3 linked regions of the Arabidopsis thaliana genome follow. The protein of the gene in region 1 interacts with the protein of each later gene in a pairwise test. Each region holds a gene or a part of one and is shown on either strand. Other genes may lie near its edges.

What was found.
Region 2: the proteins of AT5G09460 (region 1) and AT1G64625 interact in binary tests that used the Arabidopsis thaliana proteins (3 or more experiments, as listed by UniProt).
Region 3: the proteins of AT5G09460 (region 1) and AT3G21330 interact in binary tests that used the Arabidopsis thaliana proteins (3 or more experiments, as listed by UniProt).

Annotation. Positions count from the first base shown.
Region 1 is NC_003076.8:2,943,220-2,948,701, reverse strand, and holds AT5G09460 (transcription factor bHLH143), read left to right. Parts: upstream 1-1,862; 5' UTR 1,863-2,014; intron 2,015-2,352; 5' UTR 2,353-2,847; intron 2,848-2,949; 5' UTR 2,950-3,125; intron 3,126-3,241; 5' UTR 3,242-3,284; coding exon 3,285-4,265; 3' UTR 4,266-4,964; downstream 4,965-5,482. Other genes in the region: AT5G09450 (Tetratricopeptide repeat (TPR)-like superfamily protein), read right to left, coding at 5,378-5,482.
Region 2 is NC_003070.9:24,014,710-24,019,852, forward strand, and holds AT1G64625 (Serine/threonine-protein kinase WNK (With No Lysine)-like protein), read left to right. Parts: upstream 1-1,946; 5' UTR 1,947-2,168; coding exon 2,169-2,263; intron 2,264-2,449; coding exon 2,450-2,539; intron 2,540-2,632; coding exon 2,633-2,696; intron 2,697-2,836; coding exon 2,837-2,878; intron 2,879-2,937; coding exon 2,938-3,027; intron 3,028-3,103; coding exon 3,104-3,880; intron 3,881-3,973; coding exon 3,974-4,075; coding exon of another isoform or gene 4,076-4,120; exon of another isoform or gene 4,121-4,148; coding exon 4,149-4,472; 3' UTR 4,473-4,562; downstream 4,563-5,143. UniProt on the Arabidopsis thaliana protein: Transcription factor that may regulate root development.
Region 3 is NC_003074.8:7,505,378-7,509,827, forward strand, and holds AT3G21330 (basic helix-loop-helix (bHLH) DNA-binding superfamily protein), read left to right. Parts: upstream 1-1,862; 5' UTR 1,863-2,193; intron 2,194-2,326; 5' UTR 2,327-2,342; coding exon 2,343-3,464; 3' UTR 3,465-3,809; downstream 3,810-4,450.

The sequences.
Region 1 (5,482 bases):
GAGATTGTATAAGAGTTATCCAAAGCTGAGACATGGCCCAAAATAAGTCCAAGGCCATGTTTAGGCTCCATTTTGCATGGCCACTCCACTCATCTAACCAAAGCCCAGTCTCAATTATGTGAACTGAAATTTCTATGTTTTGTTTTTTCACACTGAAATTTCTATCTAACTGTCTTTCTTTTAACATGTTTCAATGATTTGCTTCCGAATAGAACACATAATAATTGTTTCCTAAAATTTTAAGAATTTTGAAGTACATAGTAGGCATTTGGGTCCACTGATCTCACACGGCAACGACTATTCTCAAATCTCATATCACATCAAAATAAAGAAAAAAGATTCAACGAGAAATTAAAATCTTTAGAAAAAATGTTCCAAAAAGAAAAAGAAGTCATCAAGGCAATTAAGCACTTAATTCCCTGTGCATTTTTTTAATCATTCACTTGCGTCTCTTTCTCTTTTTCTTTTTTTTTCTTCTTTCACCAAACTTGCTTACCTCTTTATTCGTTTTCTTTTCTTTCTCCTATGATCATGGAATTTGGTGGATGCTCCAACGTTTTTCACCTCAATCACTTATTAAAATATCATGTACAATAGTTCGTAATTATATATGAAAAAACGAGTGGGCTAAATTGGTGTTTTATAAGCCACGTCAAAAATATTGTATTATTTAGCTAGCTACTAAACTAGTCAAATATGTTACAATGTATATAGTTCAATTTGTATCGCGTCATCGTAAAGACATAAATGTTCCAAATCATCCCACCCACACACCTAAAAAGAAAGGTTAATACTTTAAAAATAATGATTATAGAAACCACCAAAATGGTTAAAAACTCACTTCCACTATTTGGCTCATAATTATAAAGAAAAAACGTTGCCCCCCCCCCCAAAAAAAAAAAAAAAGTTAAAAAGAAGACGAACATATAATGGCTTTACTTTAACGAACTACTAAGAAATTCTCACGTTTATGATATTACATAATTATTAATTTATGGCTTGAAATTATGGATCGCGAGGGTTTGCCATTATACATCATAATTACATATATTCTACGTTCCACCTCCTCTACTCCTCGTCCCATTGCAACCATCCAAACTAATAAAAATATTTAGATTATTTCTACCATTCAATTCAAAATTATATGCATTTTAAATTATACTATATGTATTTTCTAAAATAAATTTAAATTGAACTGAATTAAATAAATTTAATTTTTCTTTATAAAAAATATGTGTTAGAAATATGAATTGAAACTCATACTAAAGTGTATTTTAGTTTTAATTTCTACTAAAAAGAATAGTAAAAAATCAAAATAATAAGACTATATCCAATGTTCAATTCTATTTTTTCTTCTATTTTAAAATTGACTCTATTTTAAAGGTATTTTATTTCATTGTATGACTCTAAAATAAAGTTTTCTCTAAAATAGAAAACAAATATAGAGTAAGTTGTCTTTTGTTCTATTTATAGAGTAATCTCTACATTTTTCTTCTATTTTAGTAGTAACTCTATTCTAAAATATATAATAGAGTAAAATTAATTATATTTCTTCTTAAATTGAGTTAATATTAAAATAGAAGAAAATAAAGTTGGGCAATGGAGATGGTGTTATGTTTTGCTCAAATGAGTTTTTAGAGTTGATGTTCCAGCTTGGTTATCTAAATTTTGGAAGAGAAAGAAAAATGAAAAAAAAAAAAAAAAAATCTGAAATAAACTTGGTTGATGTGAACTGTTTTTTTCTTTTTCTTTTTCTTTTCCTGGTCTCCATTATTGACGGTAAATAAAGTGGTGGAAAAGGGTAAAATCGTCACAAGAAATAAGAAGATGTATAAAGCAATGTCACACACTTCAGTCTTCACGCCCACTTTTAGTGAATTTGCTAAAAATATATTTTCGAAATAATATTCCGCTTTCTCGTTTCTTATCCGTTCAAGCTTTCGTGAATTCGTCTCATAAACCTCTCCACTCTCTCTGGATCTCCACGCATAGATCTTCCTCTGTTTTCCTCCATGTACGCTTCTTGGATTCACTTAACCATTGTTTGTCGCTGTGCTCTCTCTGTTTTTTTATTCCTCGAAAAAGTTGAATTATCAGCGAATTTGATGCAAATGTGTTTAAATCGTTACCAAAACGGATAAATTCTTCTATTTTCGTAGCTTGGCTTGCAAAATCCAAGCTTTTAGTTCTTGATTTTGCTAAAATAAATTATACTTGTTCAATGCTGCAGAACATGTACTTATCTTCTTCTGCTGTTTATGGTTTCTCTATCCTTTCAATTGTTGTGAATGTTTGGTTTCTTTGGTTTGTTATTACTGGAATTTGATGAGATGATTCTCTGTTTTGTAACAGAATTCTTCTCTCTTTCTCTGGATCACAACAAAGCAGTGAATGAGAAAAACAGCATGAGTTGGTTCACAAGGTCTGTTGATGTGTACCGTAAAGTTGTGAGCTTGAATCTGTATTGCCGAGTTATTCTGTAAACTTTTTCTCTGCCTTGAAAAACCCCATCTTCAATCTTCTTCTAAATCCTCAGCCTTTTCTAAACTCTTTAATAATGGGATCCCAACGTTTCTACGTTTTCCACTGTGACCAGTATAGGATCATCTAAACCCTTAAAGCTTCTCTTTTTCTTCTTCAAGTCATCTGTCTTTTGGTGACTTACTCTGTTCTGTGGAGAAACACTAGTTTTACATTCGAGAGTTTGGAAAAGTTATTATTATGGTAAGTCAATCAGCTGGTCAAACAAGATTTCGAACATTCAAGTACGAGAACAACGGAGACTCTAGCAGACCAACAATTGTAGTGAGAGTTATTGCTTGCTTCCAACCGATGGATAATTGTCAGGTTTGTTGCAGCAAAAATGATATTATACTCTTTTTTTTGTCACATTTCATCTCATAGTCCTGTGTTTCTTATCTAACACTTTTGTCTCTGTTCCACTTGCAGGCTGAATACTTTAGACATATACTCAAACCAGTGACGTAGTTGGTTTGTGAGCTTGTGTTTGTATTTTTGGAGCTGGCACCTTTTTTCTTTTTGTCTCTACTTTCTTATACGATTGTTTCAAGAAAGAATCAACAAGTGTTGCGTTCCACACATTTGAGCAACAGCTTCCACAATCGGTATGCTAACTGAATCTTTGACTCTTTATGGATTATTGCTTTCTTGAGTTGGGCTACTAGTAGTTGTCTCATTCATAGCCATGTCCAATGATTAGTCCCTTTCCTTTTTCGTGCAGTATTGTATTCCTGTAAAGTTCCCTTGGCTTAAACTGCAAGAGCATGCCTCTTGATACCAAACAGCAGAAATGGTTGCCATTAGGCTTAAATCCTCAAGCTTGTGTCCAGGACAAGGCGACTGAGTATTTCCGTCCTGGAATTCCTTTTCCGGAACTCGGTAAAGTTTATGCAGCTGAGCATCAGTTTCGCTATTTGCAGCCACCGTTCCAAGCCTTATTGTCTAGATATGATCAGCAGTCTTGTGGAAAACAAGTTTCATGTTTGAATGGGCGATCTAGCAACGGTGCTGCTCCAGAGGGGGCACTCAAGTCTTCTCGGAAAAGATTTATAGTATTCGATCAGTCGGGAGAGCAGACTCGTTTGTTACAATGTGGATTTCCTCTGCGGTTTCCTTCTTCTATGGATGCAGAGCGAGGGAACATTCTCGGTGCCCTACACCCAGAGAAAGGGTTTAGTAAAGATCATGCCATTCAAGAAAAGATATTGCAACATGAAGATCATGAAAATGGCGAAGAAGACTCGGAAATGCACGAAGACACTGAGGAAATCAACGCGTTACTGTATTCTGATGATGACGATAATGATGATTGGGAAAGTGATGATGAAGTAATGAGCACTGGTCACTCTCCATTCACAGTTGAACAACAAGCGTGCAACATAACAACAGAAGAGCTGGATGAAACTGAAAGCACTGTTGATGGTCCACTTCTTAAAAGACAGAAACTACTGGACCATTCGTACAGAGACTCATCACCATCCCTTGTGGGCACCACTAAAGTCAAAGGCTTATCAGATGAAAACCTTCCTGAATCAAACATTTCAAGCAAACAAGAAACGGGTTCTGGTTTGAGCGACGAGCAGTCAAGAAAAGACAAGATTCACACCGCTCTGAGAATCCTGGAGAGTGTAGTTCCAGGGGCAAAGGGAAAAGAAGCTCTTTTACTACTAGACGAAGCCATTGATTACCTCAAGTTGCTGAAGCAAAGCTTAAACTCATCAAAGGGTTTGAATAACCATTGGTGAAAAACCTACAACCCCTTTTGTCCTATTGATAAGGCATGTTTGGTTGGTTAAAGAGAAGACATGGGACAAAAGATAATCAATGAGGTAAAGGACTGATGAAGAAGATTCTCTCAAATTCATTAACGTGGGTTTGAAACAATTAGAACACGCCTGGTGACCCTAGTGGGACCGTATCCACTGTTCATCTAGCTGGATCAATAGTGGTTTACTTTTGGATTTGGCATGCTCTCTCAAAAAAGAACCAAAAAAAAGTCACTTTCTTCTGTGCTTGGAGTGGAAGAAAAGTGAAAGAAGGGAAAAAAGCAAAGTCTTGGTGCTCATTGATCGTTAATAATTATCTTTACTCGTGAGTAATAATAATATCTCTGTGAAGGTCTGGTGGTGGTGGGTGTGGATGAAGAAAAATCAAAAAGGCAAATATTGAAATTTTTGGAGTGGTTGTGACTTGTGGAAATTGAAATCTTCCCACTTTCATTAGGTGAAAATCTATGTCCCCACTCTCTCTTGTCTCATTATTACTCTTCTGTTGCTATCAATCCCATAACTTGTCATCTTTTTTGTTTTTTCTAATCTCTCTGGCTCTTAAGCTCTTCAAAGGCCTTGTAGTTTTGTACTATTGTAATGTTATTTGCTTCTGTTGTTTCTCTCATGGGTCTAAACATGTTTGTGTATCATGTTCATGTAATAAACTCGAGTGTTAATAATGGAACCTTCTTTGGCTTCTTACATGCTAGGATTTTGCTCTAACCTTTCAAACTATCATTTTTTCTATACCAAAAACAAATTTTGTAGACTTATTATTAAACAACAACCATACAAGAAAAACCTCCACAATCTATTTTTTGTTGTAAAATTTGGACTTTTTGAAATTTGACGTTACATATGAAATGTTATGGACCTTGCCTAAGGAAACACATCTTCCGACTATGCAGCAAAATCTTCTGGTGAGGAAATCTATGTGTCTCATGACCTCCCACGTAAAGAACAAAAAGATATTTAAGAATCACAGTGAAGAGAAGAAACCTCTATTTTATTCATCCACCATGATTAATGAGCTTGATCTGATTCTTCTTGCTAAGAGCATAAAATTTTCACCAACTTATTTCTCCATCTTAAGATGATCCTTCATTCTCCAAGCTGCATTTGTTATGCACCAAGATCAAGTGAAAGCCGCTGGCTATTCCCTCTAAACCAACATCTCGAAAAGCATTCAAGAT
Region 2 (5,143 bases), on another chromosome or scaffold:
AGTTAGAGTTACTCTTAAGTTTTAAGCGATAAAGGAATTTTGTTTTGTTTTTGACAGAAAAATATGTTCTCTAGTCACATATTTTAACGAAAAGTTTTAAAATAGCTTATCTAACAAAAAGCAAGTGTACAACATAAAATCCAACTTTTGGATTTATTTCACCACTTTCGGACACAATTGTAATAAGAACGGAAAGTTTCGAAAAGGGACAATAAATCAACTAAAGACGAAAAAGGATTAAGGTGAAAATCTTGATGCCGTTGACTTTTGTTCTCAACGGCCATGATTGAGCGTGTGATGAGTATAAGAGACCAAATTATGGCTATTTCTAATAACCCCAAAAAATAAATTGATTGATGAGTTTTTCTTCATTTGATATGTAATTATAATCACTTATTCCATTTCAAGATTTGTGGATATCTATTGATATTCTCTACCACTATCAAGAAGCTAAAAGTGTATTAAGTGCATGTACATTAGCTTAGGCCGAGAAGTTTTTTTTTTTTTTTTTTAAAGGTGATGTATTTGTGGCACTTAGGCTTAGGCATGTAATGTGTGGTGTGAGATGTTGCGCGACTTGCGAGTAACAAAAATGGGTCTCAAATATTGAGGCATGTATTTCTAACGTTTGCTATATATGCCTTTGATGTTCTCTAAATTCTATTTTATATCGTATTTCCATAGTAATATTCAGTAAAATCATGAAATTCGAAGGTTGATATCAGAGTTTATATAGTATAAAGTTTTAAGATATAAATAATCCATTGAAAACTCAAAACATAGGTACAAAATAGCACCATGTACAAATAAATAGCTAAAATAAAGTAATAAAGTAACAAATTAAAACACGTTTAATACTATTCATGAACTAATGTTCAAGTCTATTTAACATTCACATTTTTCCTTGCTTGTGATCTTCTATATAAACTTAAAATTAAACATGCATGGTTTCCTGATAATAATAAGATGTTTAGTTATATTAAAGAAAAAAGATAGTAGCTCTCAAGACTTAAGGCGGAAGCATAACCTTATTTTTTTTAGGTTGGTACCACAAGAGACCACAACTAAACATTTGGATGAATATAGGTATAACAAATCTCTTATGATATGTATATATCTGGCTTATATATGAATGCATACTCTACGAATGTATGTGACTGCTGACGACATTGGTGTTAGACTGTTGATATAATTATATGAGGCAGTGGATCGAGATTTGAGAACTACTTAAGTCAAGATTATCATACCGAGAATTCAAGATTTAGGTGACACATATTTTGGGAACCTCATTGGCCCATACACTAAAGAGGCGGTCATTCTTTCTTTATAACTCTAAACCATATTTTCCAACCAAAAACGGTCGATGTTAAGCTTTAATATGATGTTCAAGATATAGGATACGAGGGAGAAGATGATCGCTAGAAACTCCACAGCACCATTTATCTTCCTCTGTTGTGGGGATCACATTCTCCTCATTTTTATTTTTCCATTGCACCAGTTTCCACTATAGAAATTTTCATCAAATGTTAGTTAATTAATCATATCTAAATATATTGAATACTATTAAAGTATATCATAAATTCGTATCGAGTATTTAATGAATCGATGATAAAAAGTAAAATCAAAATAAAATCTCCCTTTATGGAAATTATACCCTCGAAGATCCTCTCCCGTCCTAAATTTTTCAAAAGACAACAAATAAATATATAGTAATCAAAGCAAACTTTTTCACTAAACCGGCAATAGCCGGTGTAATTCACGTCACTTCCGGGACAAAAGCGTGACTGGACACCGGCAGACAAATCACATCAAATAAATAATAGTAATATATTTAATTCCTCAGACAAAAAGGCTCTTCCACTTCTTATCGAATTACAAACATTTCATGTTATTGTTTGGTTATATATATAGAGAGACAAAGCTCTTAACTCCTTTTTAATTGCTTGAACAAAAAGCAAAACTCAAAGGAATTTTCTCTGTATTTTTTTCTATCTGCAGAAAATTAAAGAAAAAAAGAGAAAACTCAAAAACCCACATTTTTCCTCTGTTTCCAGCTTTTCTTTATCTTTGGAGTTTGGTTTCTGGAGAAGACAAAAGTTGTTGTCCTTTTTAAGAGTTCGAGATCCTGCAGAAATTAAAAGGGCTCTTCCCGGCTTGGATTCCTAAATATGGGTTCAGAGTATAAGCATATATTGAAGAGTCTCTGTTTAAGCCATGGATGGTCTTATGCTGTGTTTTGGCGTTATGATCCCATCAATTCCATGTAATTTCTCTCTTTTTTCTTTCGAATGTTATATGCATGTTCCTGTCTTGGATAATATTTGCATAAAACTAGTTTTGTTTTCCGTTGATTTAGGCAAAAGACTGAATTGCATATCCTCTGGTTTTATATGTGGCTTCCCTACTTTGGTGTCCATAAATGTAATTTAGTTTTGTTGAATTCCATCAGGATATTGAGATTTGAAGAAGCATACAATGATGAACAATCAGTCGCACTAGTTGATGATATGGTTCTCCAGGCTCCTATCTTAGGCCAAGGGTATGCTTTTACACTTCACTCAAATCTTTTATATATCTGTCTCTGTGTTTGTGTTTATATATCTTCAATATACTTTTCTTTTGATGAAATTAGAATTGTGGGAGAAGTAGCTTCATCCGGAAACCATCAATGGCTGTTCTCAGACACATTGTTTCAGGTTTGTTCACTTCTTTTTCTTGGTGTTTGATTTTTCTCATCTGTGAGCTATAATGTATGTCGAAATATAGTGACTGCATAGAACATTTCATGATGAAGAAGAAAAAAGATTTGATATTCGTGCGTTTGATTGTTTTGCAGTGGGAACATGAGTTTCAGAATCAGTTTCTCTGTGGCTTTAAGGTAATTTATATTTTGTCTTCTCTCCAAGTTTAAGGATTCATATATCCATTTTGAATCAGATTCTTATACGGCAGTTTACTTATACACAGACTATCGCAATCATTCCACTAGGATCCAGCGGCGTTGTTCAGCTAGGATCTACTCAAAAGGTTTGCATATATAATTATATAACAATGTTTTCTTGTTGTGGAAGTCATGGTCTAATTACTTACTATCAATCTTTAGATTCTTGAGAGCACAGAGATATTGGAACAAACAACAAGAGCTCTCCAGGAGACGTGTTTAAAGCCACATGATTCCGGTGATCTCGATACTCTGTTTGAGTCACTGGGAGATTGTGAGATTTTCCCAGCTGAATCTTTTCAAGGATTTAGCTTTGATGACATCTTCGCTGAGGACAATCCTCCTTCTTTGCTCAGCCCTGAGATGATCTCCTCTGAAGCAGCTTCTTCCAACCAAGATCTGACCAATGGAGATGATTATGGGTTCGACATTCTCCAGTCTTACTCTCTGGACGATCTATACCAGCTGCTCGCTGATCCACCAGAACAGAACTGCTCTTCCATGGTGATCCAAGGAGTTGACAAGGATCTTTTCGACATTTTGGGGATGAATTCTCAAACGCCTACAATGGCTTTGCCACCTAAAGGACTCTTCTCAGAGCTCATAAGCAGCAGTCTTAGCAACAACACTTGTAGTAGTTCTCTCACGAACGTGCAAGAGTACTCTGGTGTGAACCAGAGCAAAAGACGGAAGCTTGATACATCATCGGCGCATAGCTCAAGCTTGTTCCCTCAGGAGGAGACAGTAACAAGTCGGAGTTTGTGGATTGATGATGATGAGAGATCAAGTATTGGAGGGAACTGGAAGAAGCCTCACGAAGAAGGTGTGAAGAAGAAAAGAGCAAAGGCAGGAGAAAGCAGGAGGCCGAGGCCTAAGGACCGTCAGATGATACAAGACCGTATCAAGGAGTTGCGAGGGATGATTCCAAATGGAGCTAAGGTAAATTGAATAATAATATAGTTTAGTTTAGGGCATCCAAATTATAGATTAACAAATGCATTCTCTAATAAGTTTCGATATATATTTAAACAGTGTAGCATAGATACGTTGCTGGATCTGACCATAAAACACATGGTGTTCATGCAAAGCCTCGCCAAGTATGCAGAGAGACTCAAACAACCATACGAGTCTAAGGTAATGAATCAAATATATCCATTCAGTAAGTACACAAGTGTTTGAGTATTGATGAGTGAATGATGTTTATCAGCTGGTGAAGGAGAAAGAGAGAACATGGGCGTTGGAAGTGGGGGAAGAAGGAGTGGTATGTCCGATAATGGTGGAGGAATTGAACAGGGAAGGAGAAATGCAGATAGAGATGGTGTGTGAGGAAAGAGAGGAGTTCTTGGAGATAGGACAAGTGGTGAGAGGATTGGGATTGAAGATATTGAAAGGAGTGATGGAAACAAGAAAAGGACAAATATGGGCACACTTCATCGTACAGGCAAAGCCACAAGTCACAAGGATTCAAGTCTTGTACTCACTTGTTCAGCTCTTTCAACACCACACCAAACATGATGATTTATTATCATAGTATAATACCTACCACTTTGATTTTCTTTCTTTTTGTTACAACAACAACACAAGAATCTGTTGATAAATAGTAGTAACATTACATCAAAGAAGATTGTATGGGCTCGTGGAAAAAAAAGAAGAAGATTGTATGGGCTTTAAAACATTGACTAAGACAAAGAAAGAAGGCCCATTTAAAGAAAAAAGGAACGTAACGACACCGTTTTGGGTGGATAACAGTTAACTGACTGAATCAGAAAATAGATGCCCGTTATCCTTGACGAGGATAAAGGGGAGACACTGTATATAAATAAAAAGTTGAACAAAGATCAAATCCTCAATCTGTTTTTAGGGTTTCGAGAGAGAGAGAGAAATTGATTTTTGTTGATATTTGTGAAATTTGGTGGCGAAATTGAAGCTTCTTCATCGGTCGTTGTCTAAAAGCAATGGTGGATGGTTGATGAATGGAGGAGATGCTCTTCTTCTTCTATCCAATAACAATAATAAGAGACACGACGCTGACACAAACGCAGAACCATCTCACCACCGTCATCATCTCGGAGATGGCCGCCACACTCCTCTGTTCCCGATCTCGATTCCGATCGGCGATCGACTCCTATTGCTTCGCCCGTGAGGCCTTCTCCGATCCAATCTCCTTCCATCTCCTCACCCTTCTGTAACCACCAATCATCA
Region 3 (4,450 bases), on another chromosome or scaffold:
TGTAGTAACTATAACCGATTAATTTGACATTGCCAAACATCAAAAAAAAAAAATTGTTAACTTTAAGATGATCTTTTACTATTATAGACGGATCACCGACTTATGTGACGGTTAAACTACTAATGGATTAGTGTGGATTAGTGACGACTTTGAATAAAAATAGGAACTAGAAAGTTATCAATATTGTAAAAGAATGTTCAAAATTTACAATTAGTATCTCAAATTATAAATACTACTACAAATTGTTCTTACATAGTAAAGATATAAGTTCATACAAATATACAATAAAACTATATTGGCGTTATTGGTTTAGGTTCTCGAATGTTGGTTATTTCAAGCCTAAGGAGGAACGACTTGGGAAATAAGAAGCGACTAATAATGTACTTCTCTACTGGTATATGGAAATTACAAAGTTTTCGAAAACTACTCCAAAAAGTGTTCCACATCGATTATATATGATATCATGATTATATATAATCAAATAAATCCACAAAAAGAGTGTTTGGTATTTTTATATAACACGTTCTAGCCAAAAGAAATGAAGATAAACTATACAAGAAAGTGTTGCTAGATAGATCGAGATGAGGATATTGATCATTATTGACTGATGATGATAGCGAAAAGGTAAATTAAACAAACACATAGAAAAGAATAAGAAAATGGTATAGATAATAGAATCATGAATTACTTTTACAGCTTGATCATTTTTAAAATAAAATATACAATCAACATTAATCTGTTATTCACCAAAAAATAAAAGATCCAAAACCTAAAACTTTCTTTCGATCTCTCCCTTAAAGTTTTCAGTTCGCACGACGCTAAAAGGATTGTCAGTCCTTTTTCTCTGCTCAAGCACTCGTAGATTTTTAATTACATATCCCTTTTCAGTATTCATCAAGTGCATAATCATATAGTCTATGATTTTTATCAAGTATTATATCTATTTTCTAGGGTTTCAAAAAAAGATGCTCTTCGATTGCAGAAACTATTATGCACACCAACCTCATTTAAATAAATATATAATTCAATCGTCTAGATTATTTTCTATATTTTAATACAAATCATTCGGTTAGCTTTAGGTTAATGAATCAGTGATCTCACTTTTCTCTTTGCGCGTGTGACATTATTTTTGACCATGAAAAATTAAATAATTTTGGATTAAGAAATTATTAAATAATCCGGTTTAGGAGATGTTTTAAGTTTAGATTCGGGAGTGTTGTAAACTCTAACGTTTAGTTTCGGTGACAACTTTTAAATTCAATTTTGATAGTCGTGTATCTATTATCCAACAAAATCTCACTTAGAGATATCAGATATATCGCAAAATTAATCGAGATCAACTTCAATAGTTTCATCTTCTACGAAAGTAAAGTTGTCGCCGCCGGCGTCTTCAATTTAACGTGTCGATAACGTTCCATATTCGAGTTTGCATATGCATGTCACTGGAAATAATAGTTAAATCATCTAAATCGCATCCATTAATGATTTGATCATCATAAAATTTGGTAAAAAAATTACCTAACTCAAAAGTAAAATATAAAAATTAATCGTTTGAGTAGTTAATTAGTTTACCGGTATACTAGTTAAAAGTTTTTTTCCTTTGACGGCGCTCATATATATGTTTTAAAGTATATCAAAATAGGGATTTAATTCTTAAAGTTACACTAATCCTAATTCTTAAAGTTAACCATCCATACCAATTTACAGAAGTACAGAACTAGTGCTTGATACAGAGGAACAATTGATCTCATCGAAAGTTGGGACCTTTTTAAAAATAATACTATTATATATATATAATAAATATACAAATATATTTAATATTTATTCTATATATAAATATGTGCATAATAACAAATCTGAGTATGAATAGTAGGAGGGGTGTATAGGGCTTTCAAGTCTTTTCTTACAGAAACTATCTATAACTCTAGCAGAGAGCTCATTATAGAACAGAACAGAAACAGAGCTTTCTAAGTCTACAGCACAGAAATAAACCTCATTTACAGACTGTTTTACTTTCTTTCCTTTTTGAGCATTTCTTCTTTCTGTTTCTTTCCTCTGTTTTCTCTTTCTTTCCCTTTTTGGGTGTCATCTCTTTAAGACAGAAGAAACGTTTCTCAGAGTTTCCTGTGAACTCATCTGTTTGTTCTCTTCTTCCGGTTTCACTTTTTCATGTCCTGCCGTTATTACAACGAGGTTGGTTTAAAGATCAGCTTTTATCATTTTTCCCTGCATGTAACAAGAAATATTTAGGTTTCATGTCTGTTTACAAATATGCTCTGTTTCTAAGTATGCCTCTCACATTTGTCTTTGTTTTGGGTGTTTTTAGGATTGTGTTTGATCCGATGGAAGGATTGGAATCTGTGTACGCTCAAGCTATGTATGGAATGACACGAGAGAGCAAAATCATGGAGCATCAAGGATCAGATTTGATTTGGGGAGGAAATGAGCTAATGGCTCGAGAACTCTGTTCTTCTTCTTCTTATCACCACCAACTCATTAATCCGAATCTTAGCAGCTGTTTCATGTCTGATCTTGGAGTCTTAGGTGAGATTCAACAGCAGCAACATGTTGGCAACAGAGCTAGCTCGATAGATCCATCATCACTCGATTGTTTGTTATCTGCGACGTCGAATAGCAACAACACCTCGACGGAGGACGATGAAGGAATATCTGTGCTTTTCTCAGATTGTCAGACTCTTTGGAGCTTTGGTGGAGTCTCATCTGCAGAGTCTGAGAACAGAGAGATCACTACTGAGACGACAACAACGATAAAGCCTAAGCCTTTGAAGAGAAACAGAGGAGGAGATGGAGGAACTACTGAGACTACAACAACAACAACAAAACCTAAGTCTTTGAAGAGAAACAGAGGAGACGAGACAGGAAGTCACTTTAGTCTTGTTCATCCTCAAGATGATTCGGAGAAAGGAGGTTTCAAGCTTATATACGATGAGAATCAATCGAAATCAAAGAAACCAAGAACAGAGAAAGAACGAGGCGGTTCTTCGAACATTAGTTTCCAACATTCAACTTGTTTGTCTGACAATGTCGAGCCCGATGCTGAGGCGATTGCACAAATGAAGGAGATGATATACAGAGCGGCTGCATTTAGACCGGTGAATTTCGGGTTAGAGATTGTGGAGAAGCCTAAGAGGAAGAACGTCAAGATATCGACGGATCCTCAAACGGTTGCAGCGAGACAGAGAAGGGAGAGGATAAGTGAGAAGATTAGGGTTTTACAAACATTGGTTCCAGGTGGGACGAAGATGGATACTGCATCAATGCTTGATGAAGCTGCTAATTATCTCAAGTTCCTTAGAGCACAAGTAAAAGCTTTAGAAAACTTGAGACCCAAGCTTGACCAAACCAATCTCTCTTTCTCTTCTGCTCCTACATCGTTTCCATTATTCCACCCATCTTTTCTTCCATTGCAAAATCCTAATCAAATCCATCATCCAGAGTGTTGACAGATTATAAACTTTTGAGTTTCATCATCATCAACAGAATCATGGCGTCTTGATTGTTTTAGCAGTTCTCAAGAAAGGCAACTTCTGTGACAAGGGTGGTGTCGGGCAGTGTTGTTTACACTTTCCAGTCTTTGTTTTGCATTTCTTTTTATATAAAGTTTGTATTTTATATAGAATCTGTGGAATTCGAGGGTTGAAATATTGTGAAAAACAGAGCCGCAAGAGGTTAATTACAGTCTCTGCAATATTTTCAACCTTTTATTACTTTATTAGAGTAAAGATAGCGTAAGATAATTGCAATTATGAAGCGATGATTATCAACAAAAGTGTTTAGAAAGTGCCTCCATCTCTCTCTACTTAAAAAAGTTTAGCTTTACTTGAAGAACTCTTTTGGAGTACTAAAATATAAAATTAATATTCATCCTCTTTTTTTGGTACTCAATAAACTCTGTCTGTCTCTGTAAAATATGTATAAATTTCGTATATCTATAATGCAAGGTTATTTAATTTGTGTTACTTATCCATATAAAAAAACGATTTTAGTGGAAGAACTTATTATTGTCTTATAATTTTATTTTCACATAAGTGTTTTTTTGTCTGGCTCAAATACAAAACATAGTTTGGATGGAGTTTAGTAAGAGTTAAGAATGTTGAAGGCGTGCACCTTGAGAATATAACTTCACCTGACTCGTACACCCTAAAATGCTCACCACATGCTTCTCTATCTCACTCTCCATCTTTTTATTCTTCTTTTTTGTCTTTTGGTTTTTGTCTTATTTCGTCCCTAAATCTCCTTAATCACATTCTCTTTCGTTTAATAGTATTTTATGAAGTTCTTTTGATGGATGTGTTTTTTTGACTTGGGTACATTGACTATCAACTTTTTATTTATTCGCAATAACACTTACTTAATTGCTATTTTCAAAATAACATGCTATTTTGTTCTAAGCTTGGTTTACATTAAGAAAGTAACATGCTCTTGAGCT